Linked DNA regions of Macaca fascicularis. The protein of the gene in region 2 interacts with the protein of the main gene of each other region in a biochemical or structural test. Links are inferred from orthologs where the notes say so. Each region holds a gene or a part of one and is shown on either strand. Other genes may lie near its edges. The genes, in order: USP8, STAM and ARRB1.

The links.
Region 1: the proteins of STAM (region 2) and USP8 form a complex in vitro, tested with the Homo sapiens proteins (2 studies listed by BioGRID). The link is inferred for Macaca fascicularis from reciprocal best matches to the Homo sapiens genes STAM and USP8.
Region 3: the proteins of STAM (region 2) and ARRB1 form a complex in vitro, tested with the Homo sapiens proteins (2 studies listed by BioGRID). The link is inferred for Macaca fascicularis from reciprocal best matches to the Homo sapiens genes STAM and ARRB1.

Annotation. Positions count from the first base shown.
Region 1 is NC_088381.1:26,904,390-26,908,666, forward strand, and holds the start of USP8 (ubiquitin carboxyl-terminal hydrolase 8), read left to right. Parts: upstream 1-1,365; 5' UTR 1,366-1,728; intron 1,729-4,277. UniProt on the Homo sapiens protein: Hydrolase that can remove conjugated ubiquitin from proteins and therefore plays an important regulatory role at the level of protein turnover by preventing degradation. Converts both 'Lys-48' an 'Lys-63'-linked ubiquitin chains.
Region 2 is NC_088383.1:18,553,943-18,558,179, forward strand, and holds the start of STAM (signal transducing adapter molecule 1), read left to right. Parts: upstream 1-1,399; 5' UTR 1,400-1,592; coding exon 1,593-1,632; intron 1,633-4,237. UniProt on the Homo sapiens protein: Involved in intracellular signal transduction mediated by cytokines and growth factors. Upon IL-2 and GM-CSL stimulation, it plays a role in signaling leading to DNA synthesis and MYC induction. May also play a role in T-cell development.
Region 3 is NC_088388.1:74,136,219-74,139,863, reverse strand, and holds part of ARRB1 (beta-arrestin-1), read left to right. Parts: intron 1-1,477; coding exon 1,478-1,615; intron 1,616-2,706; coding exon 2,707-2,790; intron 2,791-3,645. UniProt on the Homo sapiens protein: Functions in regulating agonist-mediated G-protein coupled receptor (GPCR) signaling by mediating both receptor desensitization and resensitization processes.

The DNA.
Region 1 (4,277 bases), on a different chromosome or scaffold from region 2:
ACACACTTTCACTTAAAAGCGTCTACTAGATCTTTTTTTTTTTTTTTTTTTTTTTGAGGCGGAGTCTCGCTCTGTCGCCCAGGCTGGAGTGCAGTGGCGCGATCTCGGCTCACTGCAAGCTCCGCCTCCCGGGTTCCCGCCATTCTCCTGCCTCAGCCTCCCGAGTAGCTGGGACTACAGGCGCCGCCACCACGCCCGGCTAATTTTTTTGTATTTTTAGTGGAGACGGGGTTTCATTGTGTTAGCCAGGATGGTCTCGATCTCCTGACCTCGTGATCCGCCCGTCTCGGCCTCCCAAAGTGCTGGGATTACAGGCTTGAGCCACTGCGCCCGGCCTACGTCTACTAGATCTTGCTGCCAGATTTCCCATCCCTAAGACACCCGGAGTGTTCCTGAGGCCTTAGTGACTACTGCCTAAAGCTCCACCCAAATCAATTTTATGTTTACAGATAACCGGAGCATCCAATCACCTTTCTCTAAGAGAGTACAAAGATCAGCTCGCGAGAAAGTTCAGACCTCTCATTTCGTTTCTGTTAGACCGGCCTTCCCCCAACCAGACGGAGTCTTGCTCTGCTGCCCAGGCTGGAGTGCAGCAGCGCGATCTCGGCTCACTGCAACCTCCCCTCCCCGGGTTTAAGCAGTTCTCCTGCCTCAGCCACTGGAGTAGCTGGAATTACAGGCGCGCGCCACCACGCCAAGCTAATTTTTTTGTATTCTTAATAGAGATGGGGGGTGGGGGGGGGTTCACCATATTGGCCAGGCTGGTCTCGAACTCCTAACCTCATGATTTGCCCGCCTCGGCCTCCCGAAGTGCTGGGATTACAGGCGTGAGCCACCGTGCCCGGCCTCGACAGGGCCTTTTAAATGACGTTAAAAATTGTACATAAAATATGTTTTAGGATAATACCTGTTTTTCTTTGACCAAAGAAAGGCTTGGCTTCAGAGAATGTTAAGACAGAAATAGAGGGGCGTTAAATCCCCTTTTAAGTTTTTTCTAATTTCCAATCTGAGGAGGAAAATAACGTAGTAAAGGGATGCAAGAGCAACCTCGCTTCTTCCACAAGGCCCAGAATGCGAAGCGAACCTGGGCCGCTTGGCTACCGCCCGGTTGCAACCCGGAAATGCAGGGTGCAGTGCGGGGGGTACGGAACCGGCCGACTGTGTTGATCCGGCTCAGAGAAATCCCGCCCTTGCCGCCGCCGCCCACCCATAACGTCCTCCTCGACCCTCCCTCAACCCTCCCTCGCCCCGCCGCTCGGCCCTCACCGAAAGGGGGAGGGCGGTGAAAGAGAGAAGTCAAGGAGCGCACGCGAAGCCCAGCCCCTACCGTGACGTCTGGAGACGCGACGCGTCGCCTCGCAATGCAAATCGGGAAAAGGGGATGAGCTGGGCTGGCTTCCGTCCTGATAGCCAAGGCTAATTCTCCCTCGAGTTCTTGGGAGATGGGCGTTTGGCGAGAAGGCTGGCGTTAGTGAAGCGCGCCGGGCGTCACGGTGAGTGCGGGTCTTGGGCCCTGGCACCTGTCCTCTGGGAAGTCGTCCGCTGTGAACCCCCTCTCCTTCCACCAGCTGCTGGTCACCCGGGAGACAAGCCCTGTCCGCGGAGAGGAGTGGGACAACTCCGAAAGGTAGAACCGGCTTGTGGAGAGGAAGGGCCCAACCTTGAGTCTTTTACGCCACCCATCTAGGATTGCCAAGCGAGTTTCGTGCGGTTTTTCGGTTTTAAAAGGTGGCTTTGACCATTCTTCCGTTCTCTTGGACACTTATACCCGACTTTGACCTCTTTCCTCTTGCTTCCGGTTTTTTGTTTTTGGTTTTTTTTATTTTTTTTATTTTACTCTCTGCAATCTGCCTACAATCCCAGGCCTTACTACAGCTCCTAAAACTGTTTCCCAGTTTCTCCTCTTCCCTAGTCACACTTCATTTTAGTGAAGTAGGAGTTTAAAGACCCTATAAGCTTATCAGAGTTAAAACTATGACTGCCTCAAATAGAAGCTTTTCCCCGCCCCCCTAAAAAGTGCCTTCCAACCTAGAGTTGTGGGACAAGTTAATTTCGCCGCCACTCCACCTTGGAAATTATCGGAATCCTTACTTGCAGCGATGTGCATTTATATAGAAAGCTGCAGACCACCCTCCTGGGTTTATTTCTTGCCTCCAGTTCATTCTGTGACCTTGAACAAGTCACTTAATCACTAACAAAATATTTACCTGACACGGAGGTGTTGCAGAGCCTAAGGAATTTAGAATTTAAGAGACCTGAGGGTTTCAGATGAAAGGGATTTGTATCTAAAGGATATTACCTTTTCTGAATCTGCGAAGCATCCTTAGTTTTGTAAATATCTTGCTGCAGCCATTAAAAATGCCAAGTGGTTATTTGTTAAGGAAGTGTTCCTGTTTTAGGCTTGCTCTGCTGCGGCTTTGCCATGTAAGCAGATTTTGCATTTCAGCCGATTCTGTTTAAGATTCGTTGGTGAATGTCATTCATGATGGATTTGGGTAGTTTCTCCTTACAACATATCCCTGGACCATTAAGCATATCTGGAAGGTGATATCGGTTGTGTTATGTCTTTATCATGTTGATATGGCTGCCTTGAAATAGGTATTCCTTTTCTTGTGACACATTGGATGCATCTTTAATATTAGATAGTGAAGACCCTGTAGTAGTAAAAATATATATATATATATACACACCTGTCATTAATGAAATTTTGCACATAGGCATGTATTTTTTTTAGAAAACAATGTATAAGAAAAACTAACAAAAATGTTTTAAAGGTGACTTTTTTAGCATTTCATTTTTTAATATATTTACTTGGACTTTATTAATCATTATGGGCATTTGTTTATTAATGTGGACGTGGCTGGGCGCAGTGGCTCACGTCTGTAATGCCAGCACTTTCCGAGGCCGAGGAGAGTGGATCACCTGAGGTCAGGAGTTCGAGACCAGCCTGGCCAACATGGCGAAACCTGGTCTCTACTAAAAAACAAAATTAGCTGGGCATGGTGGCACACGCCTGTAATCCCAGCTACTCCAGGGGCTGAGGCAGGAGAATCGCTTGAACCGGGGAGGCAGAGGTTGCAGTGAGCTGAGATTGCACCATTGCACTCCAGCCTGGGTGACAAGAGCAAAACTGCATCTCAAAAAATTAAAATAAAAAGCGTGGACATAATGGAAAATAATCAAAATGACTTTTGAGTAAGACAGTTGGAAAATAAAACCAGTACATTAAATTTTTTTCATAAGTCTAGCATTATACTTTATTATGAACTTTTCTACATGAAAATGCGCTCATATTTACGGAAGTGAAAGGAAAAAAAGTCTTCAAGGATGTGTTGCTAATAAAATTAGAAATAATTAAGGAAACATTTAAAAAATACCTTGTTGTTGTCCCAGTTACCTATTGCTGCGTAACAAATGACTCCAAAACACAGTGGCTTAAAACTATAATTTATATCTCTCCTGTTTCTCTGGCCTGCCTGTACTTAGCTAAGTGGTTCTCACCTAGACTTTAATGCGTTTGTATTCAGATAAGCAGCTGAGTTTGGAGTCATCCGAGAGCTCAGCTGGTCTGGACATCCAAAATGGCTAATTCATGTGAAGGCAGTTGATGTTGGCTAGGAGTTCAGCTGGAAATGTCAACTGGAATGCCCACACATAGCCTCTTCACGTGACTTGAACTTCTGACGTGAACAGTATGGTGGTTAGGTTCCAAGAATACATGTTTGAGGAGACAGGAAATAGAAGCTGCGTGTCTCCCAAAAAGCCTGAACCCAGAAATAGGCACAACATTATTTCCAACATACTCTGTTGGTTAGAGCAGTCAGACCAGTATCCAACCCTCACTTTTGAAGGGAAAAATGTCAAAGAATTTGTGGCCATGCTTTGTCTACTGTAATTTTGATGACAAAGTTGTATTGGACTCTTGTTTGCATTTATATAGCAGATGAATAATAAGGTATGCTTCCAATTTCCAATTTCTTTTCTTTTTTTTTTTTTTTTTTTTTTGAGATGGAGTCTTGCTCTGTCGCCAGGCTGGAGTGCAGCGGTACGATCTCGGCTTTTTGCAACCTCTGCCTCCTGGGTTTATGCCATTCTCTTGCCTCAGCCTCCCAAGTAGCATGTCGCCACGCCCAGCTAATTTTTGTATTTAGTAGAGATGGAGTTTCACCATGTTGGCCAGGATGGTCTCGATCTCTTGACCTTGTGATCCACCCGCCTCAGCCTCCCAAAGTGCTGGGACTACAGGCGTGAGCCACTGCGCCCAACCCATTTCCAAT
Region 2 (4,237 bases):
TACAGTTCATCCAACAGTATGTGAGTGTCTCATTCCTCACATCCCTGATTCTTTGCAATTTTCTTTTTTTTTTTTTGAGACGGAGTTTCGCTCCCGGGTTCAAGCGATTCCCAGCCTCAGCCTCCCGAGTAGCTGGGATTACAAGCGCGCACCACCACGCCCGGCTAATTTTTTGTATTTTTAGTAGAGACGGGGTTTCACCATGGCCAGGCTGGTCTTGAACTCCTGACCTCTGGTGATCCGCCCGCCTCGGCCACCCAGAGTGCTGGGATTACACGCGTGAGCCACCGCGCCTGGCCGATCCTTTGTAATTTTTACCTAAATGACAAAACATTATGTAACTGCTACTTTAATTTGAACATTTCACTTTTAGAGGTGGGACTTCATTTTTAATGAATTTTTGTAAGCACTCTTTGTTTACTATATATTAATCCTGTGTTGACATGTCAGTATTAGTTTCCATGCTACATTTGGAGGTGCCGTAATTTGGGGGATAATTTCCATAATTTCAATTTACGTACAAGATGAGCTTACTAAGTTTGTTCCAAGTGGTATGCAAAATCTCTAGTGGATCCTCCTTAAAACTTCTCCATGACACAGAGAATAATTTTTATTGGTTAATTAAACTCAAAAGTAAAATAATTAAATCAACATTTTGAGTTGCTAGGAATCACTCACTGATCAACTTCTAGCTCCAGTTTTTTTGTTTTCTTTTTTTGCTCAGTCTAGGGAGGCTATCTTGGGCTGTGAAAGACATGTCACCAACCATCACAGCTGCTGAGTGACTGCACGGTTAGTCAGTAGGTGCCAACGCCCTACTAGCAGAGCTGTCTGCCGATTCCGAAGCCCGGCGTTCAGGGACTCCCGGGAAGGAGTCAGCGTTACCTCAGCCTCTCCGAGGGAGCCTCGCGCCCTGAACACTCCCCTCTTGGGATTCAGGCCAATCCGTTCAGCTCCCATGACTTCATCCAAGCAAATTTGTCACCTCACGCAGCGAATTAAACTGTTTACCTAGAAGATGATCCAAAGGAATTTGCATTTCCTTCCAGAGGGAATACAAGGTTATGATAACCGAGAGAGCGAGAGGAAAAAAGGGGCACGCCTCTACCCAAACTCAACCTGCTTTCTTTCTCCTGGGTCTTCCAGTCACTCCGGGGGTTGTTAGTAGGCTTCAGCACGCCTGAAGGACCCCGTCTTCCGGAGACTCCTAGCTAAGGGAAAAGCAGGAAACACAAGAACTAATCCCACTCTTCTGTGTGACTAATTAAAAGAGGAGTCAGGCAGAGGGGACTACCTGTTCAGCCTTTACTGATGGGGCAGGCTCGGGGCACCTTTGGGACAGGCAGTGCCGAGGTCGCCCAGATTCCCGACAAGCTCCGCGCGGGGGCCTTCTCGGCTCAGTGCTGTTGCCGCCGCCACCGCCGCTGCTGGGGTGGTTGCTGGGGTTGGGTGAGAGGGAGGAGCTGTCGCGGACCCTGTAGAGTCAGTCTCTGTTGCTGTTTTTGCCTGAGGAGTCTTCCTTCCTACGTCGAGCCCTGACTCCCGTGCTGTCGAGGGGGGAGTCCCCGCGGACACCTCGGCACGCAGTGGAGATGCCTCTCTTTGCCACCAATCCCTTCGATCAGGATGTTGGTAAGTGTTTTTGCTGCTCCCTGCCCATTCCTCACCGGACTGCACGCTCACTCTGCCAGCCCCTTCCTGCATTCAGGACCCTCGGACCAGGGCCGAGGAAGAGCTCGCTCTTCCCGTTTCCTGAGGTTCCCTCCTTCAGAGCTGGGAGGAGGTTGAGGACTTGGCGCATCCTCTTGAAAGAAATGGGACTCATCCTGTGAAATGGGCCTTGAGCTAGGACTGTAGGTTGCCAAAGAACTGCTGAAGGGGTTGGTGTAAAGGGCCTGGGAGGAGCAGCTGGTGTAGCATCTGGTGCAGGGACTGTGCTTCTGGACGAACAGCGAAGGGCTTAAGGCGTATGTCGGCTAGATTAGGATGGTAAACCCTATACCAAAAGTGCTTGCCTAGACAAATAAATGTTGAGCGTCTGGAACTGGCAGAATGTTTTAGGTAAGGTTCCTTAGAGGATTTTAAAATCTTTTTGCAACGGTAACTGAAGGAGGGAGCTCTGGTTAAGGTTAGACTCAAAAATGTTGCGAGCGATGAAGATGAAATACTTGGCAATAGCTGAAACCGAATTGAGGACCTGCGCCTTTGGGATGTCTCTCTTAGGCTAGGTCTCTGCCCTTAAAAAAGTGTAAAGAAGTGTGGAAGAAGTTGTTGAATCTGGAAAGAGTTTGAAGTGCTACATTTTTGTTGTTTTCTGAATCACTGGTTTTAGGTACTGATTATGTCAGTTCAATAGGTTTGCTTTTTGTTTATTTTTTATTTTATTTTATTTTTTTCCGGCTTGAAGATAATAATTATGGGAATTTGAGTTTCCGGGGAGAGAATTTTGGTTTAATATGAACGCACGTAGGAACTACCTTGGCACACAAGTGCGGAATGAAAGCAAGCCAAATACCATTTCCAAATCCCTTATGGCAGAAAGTAATGATTACTGTGAATAAGGACCACCTTATGAAGTTAATTTATACGTCTGTGTGTATTTTAATTATGAAAGATGGATGTTGAATTTTGCTTTTTTAACTCTTCCTTAGAGCATGTCACTGAAACTTGGAGGTTTATATAAGACTAGAAAAAAGGTTCATCCTTACCTCTGCCACTTCTCAGCTCACAGTGAAATCATAGGCAAGTTACGTTCTTTGAGTTCCAGTGTTCTTGTCTTCAAAGAGGGGAAAATACATCATTCCATTCTGCGGTTAAATGATATGTGTAGAGGGCCTGCTACAGTACCTTTATGTGATAGGCACTTACTAGATGCTACCTTTTTTTTTCCAGCTTAAATGAGTGTCCTGAATCTTAGCAGTGGACAGAACCTTGGAGATCACCGATTATACTTAATGAATTGGAAAATTGCATTTAACTTAATAAGCAGTTAGCACACACTACAGGACACAGTGGCTCAGTGACATAAGAGATACGGTGATGAGCAAGGCCTAGTTGCTGCTCTCAAGCAGTTTTACATCTCACTACATGAATCTCTAGGGGAAGTACTTAAAACAGCTTCTTAGTACTTGTTTCTTCTGTTTACAGTACCTTTGTCTAGTTTTCTTGGTCCTGTATAATTTAGCTAGCAACTACCCAATCACCTTTGTATTCTACTGACTTTGTGAACACGTATTTGCATTGGATTCAGGTAAATTTCTTAATGTCAAACCTGTTCCTAGTACCTGTACCACCCAGTTCAAACACAGTCACCTTCTTGCTTTTATGCTTTTGCCCTGTGCTTACGCTTTCTTTTCTCTTTCAACATATCCTTATGTGTTAAGGCCAACTCAGAATCCAACTTGTTATACCTGAATCGTTTCCTGATTGCTGTAGCAAAGGGTTTCTCAGTAGCAACGTTATTGACAGTTTGGACCAGATAAATATCTTTGTCATAGGGGTTTGTCCTGTGCAATGTAGGGTGTTCAGCCTTATCCCTGGCCTTTATCCACTAGATGCCAGTGACACCCAGCCCCCACTCATGATTTTAGAAGTCTCAGGACATTGCTACATGCCCCCTGGAGGGACAAAATACCTCCTAGTTGAGAACCACTGCACTAGTCCACTCTTAATTTCCACCTTCTTACAAAATCCTCTAACTTATTTTAGCATTTTTGTCTTTACCAAATTACTTAGCATTAAAGATATGTACTGTATTTTCCTACTTAATGAGTGGTTGCTACATAGAAGGTGTTTAATAAACGTTTGTTGAGTTGACAATGTGTCAGTTGAGCCTGCCAGATAGTACACTTCTTCAATGTAGCAACATTGTTTTGCTCCAGAAAAGCTTACTTTTAAAAGTTGCTCAAGTTTTGGTATTGGACCAATTCTCTTCTCACAGTCCGTGTATTGAAATATTCCAAAAGGTTTATCTGAGAAGACCCCTCAGAGATTCCCAGTACATAATCCTTGCGCAGATTCCAGTAGACTCCTATATTATTTTTAAATAGTATATAGAATACAGTGTATAAAATACACTTACTATTTTTTCTTTCACTATGTCATAACCAATGAGTATGTCATAACATTAAAGTAACTCATTTGATACAATTATTTATCACTTAACGCTTGTATACATTTGCACGTCTTCAAAATTATTTGTCTTCAGTCTTAATCTGAAGCAGAATCAGAAATTCAC
Region 3 (3,645 bases), on a different chromosome or scaffold from region 2:
CAAGCTAGCAAGCAGCAAAGCTGGGGTTGGAACACAGCTCGTCTGACTCCAAGGCTTGTTCACTATCTGCTGCATGACAGCTCTCTCATTGGAAAGGGTGGAGGATAGAGCAAAAGCAAGTAAAAATTGGACAGTCAAAACGCCCTATGTATGATGGATGTGATCAAGCAAGTAACGTTTTAATTGTTGAGCCTATATGATGGGTATATGGCTGCCCAAATAGCTTCATTTATGGTTTGTGTGTAGCTATAATTTTTTCTTTTTAAAATTTGTTTAGAGACAGGGCTGGTGCTTATGCCTATAATCCCAGCGCTTTGGGAGGCTGAAGAAGGCGGATCACTTGAGGTCAGGAGTTTGAGACCATCCTGGCCAACATGGCGAAACCCCATCTCTACTAAAAATACACAAATTAGTTGGGCATGGTGGTGTGCGCCCGTAATGCCAACTACTTGAGAGGCTGAAGTAGGAGAATTGCTTGAACCTGGGAGGTGGAGGTTCCAGTGAGCCAGGATCACACCACTGTACTGTAGCGTGGGCGACAGAGCGAGACTCTGTCTCAAAAAATAAAATAAAAATTAAATAAAATAAAAAAATTAAATTAAATTAAATGTTTAGAGACAGAGTTTCACTCTGTTGCTCAGGCTGGAGTGCAGTGGTATGATCATGGCTCACTACAGCTAGCCTCGAACTCCTGGGCTCAAGTGATCGTCCTGCCTCAGCCTCCCAAGTAGCTAGGACTATAGGTGTCTGCCACCATATCGGGCTAATATTTAAAATTTTTTGTAGAGATGGGGTCTTGCTATGTTGCCCAGGCTGGTCTCAAACTCCTGGCCTCAAGCAATCCTCCTGTCAGCCTCTCAAGTTGCTGGGATTACAGGCATAAGCAACTGTGCCGGCTGTGGCTGTAATTTATTATTATTATTATTTTTGATATGGAGTCTTGGCTCACTGCAAGCTTCGCCTCCCGGGTTCATGCCATTCTCCTGCCTCAGTCTCCCAAGTAGCTGGGACTACAGACGCCCGCCACCACACCCGGCTAATTTTTTGTATTTTTAGTAGAGATGGGATTTCATCATGTTGGCCATGCTGGTCTCAAACTCCTGACCTCAGGTGATCCACCCACCTCAGCCTCCCAAAGTCCTGGGATTACAGGCGTGAGCCACCGTCCCCGGCCAGCTGTAATTTTTTAAATGAATACGCTTTTCAGCACTGTGCTGCTTGACTTGGACAATCTTTTAGAATATCCCAGATTCAGTGCTGTTTGTGCATAGAATGTAGATAGATGTGCCTCTTTTGAGTGGCAGTGGTTCTCCTTGCCTGAGCTGGGCTGGCCCAAGTGGTCCGTGCATCTGGGGAACAGAGGTTGGGAGAGGGAGACTTGGAGCAGGCCCAGACTAGATATTCTGCTGGGCTGGAGATCAGGGGTGGGGTTGGCTCTGGGGAGGGCCATCTCCACAGCTGCTTCCCTTCTTCCCAGTGACACTGTGGCACCCAGCTCGACGTTCTGCAAGGTCTACACACTGACCCCCTTCCTAGCCAATAACCGAGAGAAGCGAGGCCTCGCCTTGGACGGGAAGCTCAAGCATGAAGACACGAACTTGGCCTCTAGCACCCTGTGAGGACCTGCCCTCCTAGTCCTGGGCTCCTAGTGCACCTTGCCTGATGGGGCCACACCCTCCTTGGTCCCCCCAGTTCAAAGACAAAGCTCAGGCTACCCTCTCCACAGCCTTGTCAGGGCCTGTCCTCAGGTGCTTGACTTGTCAGGGAAGCTGCCTCCTTGCTCCCATTCCTACCCAGGGGTGACTGAGAATAAGATGGACCACTAGGCCAGCTCGCTCAGGCAGTGCTGGGCTCTGCTACCATGCCTGGGGGAGGGCAACCTGGGAAGGCTTCCTGCAAGAGGTGGCAGCTTCTGACATAATGCCTTCAGTCAGATGGGGTGTCCCTGAGGAGAGACCAGGGTGGTGAGCTGGGTTAGACCCAACATGAGGTACCCCTCCAAGTCAGGGGTCCCAGGGCATCTTGTCACTTCTGCTGCACGGTCATCATGGATGCCTCTAGGCTACTCTGCTCCAGCAGAGCCCTGGCTATGGGGATGCCATCTTGCCCTCTTGCGAGTGTGGTCCTTCAGTGGGGCTTTGGCCTGAGTCTAGAGCAGCTGCCACTCCAGCACAGACTCTCTCAGCTCTCCTCAGCAGCCCCTGCACAGCCTCCCACTTACCTGAAGCTTTTTGCCCTGTCTCCACACTGGCTCACACCCTATCCACCTTCAAGACCCAGCTGAGGCACCACTTCTGTGGAGAAGTCCTTCTCTGACGGCCCCCACCCCATCCAAGCTGCCTGGCCCTCTGTGAACGCTGTGTGTGGCCGTTTCTGCCCATGGGTTGCTGAGAGAAGCAGAATCCATCTGAGGGGAGAAGGAGCCCGGCCATCACTGCGGGCATGCTGACCTGGGCAGGGAGAGGGGCTCAACAGGGCTACACAGCGAGCGAGTCTCACAGCCAGACTTGGAACCGGGGCTCTGGGTCCCTGCTACCTAAGGGCACTGCTCACCTTCCTCACCTCCACTGCACTTTACTGGACATGGTAGCTCAGTGGCCAGCCAAATGGGGGATGGATGGCCACTGCCCCCCAGCACACCCACCCCTGAGGTGTCTCGCCCACCTGGCAAGGCCCCTGAACCGGCTCCCCTGTGTCACTTTGCAGGTTGAGGGAAGGCGCCAACCGTGAGATCCTGGGGATCATTGTTTCCTACAAAGTGAAAGTAAAGCTGGTGGTGTCTCGGGGCGGGTGAGTGCTCTAGCCAAGCCCAAGACCCTGGTGTGCAGAGGGGAGCGTTGCAGATGCTCACAGGCCCCTGCCCCATTCTGCCTGTTTGCAGCCATTTTAGCTGCATCCACCTTGGAGGAGGAACCTCCTGTCCCTTCTGTTCCTCTTTCTCCTCCCCTGCCCGCTTTTCCTCTCTTCCTTCCTTGGCCCTCAGCCCCTCTCTTACCCCCGGCCATCTCTTTCTCTCCTCCTTCTCCTCCTCTATCCTGGGTCTGGGCTCACACTGAGGATTGGCCATGCCCAGGGGACGGCGTCCTCAGAGTCTATGCTGTGGGGTGCCCAGGGGTGCAATCTCCTCATCACACTGTGGGCATGGCACCCACCCCCATGCATGCCCAAGCTAATTTTCCGAGGAAACAGCTAAAAGGGCTCAGAACCCAGAGCTGGATTGCGGATTTACTAGCTAGTCAGCTTTGCCTTTTTACAGATGGTGAAACAGAGGCCCAAACAGTGCCCCAAACATTGCCTGAAATCTCCTCCCCTAACTCAGGTCATGGGCTGGGGTCATAGCAGTGGACCAGACTTCCCTGCCCTGGAGCATAGTTTGGTGGAAGCTTGGGGAGAAGAAGAAAAAACAACTACGTTTCTTTTTTGTAACTTAATTCATAAATTTATATGAAAAGATTGAAAAGCTAAATCTCATTAGACATTGGGTCTCCTTGATTATTAGAAGAATGCCTCTTGGCAGTGGCAGTGTGTAATCCTGACCTTATATAATAAAACATCTCAAAATTACAAATCCCAAATCCTGTGTCTGGTGACCTTTCAGGATCTGCAGTCCCTCAAACATTCTTGGCAACTCCGGAGTCCTTCCCT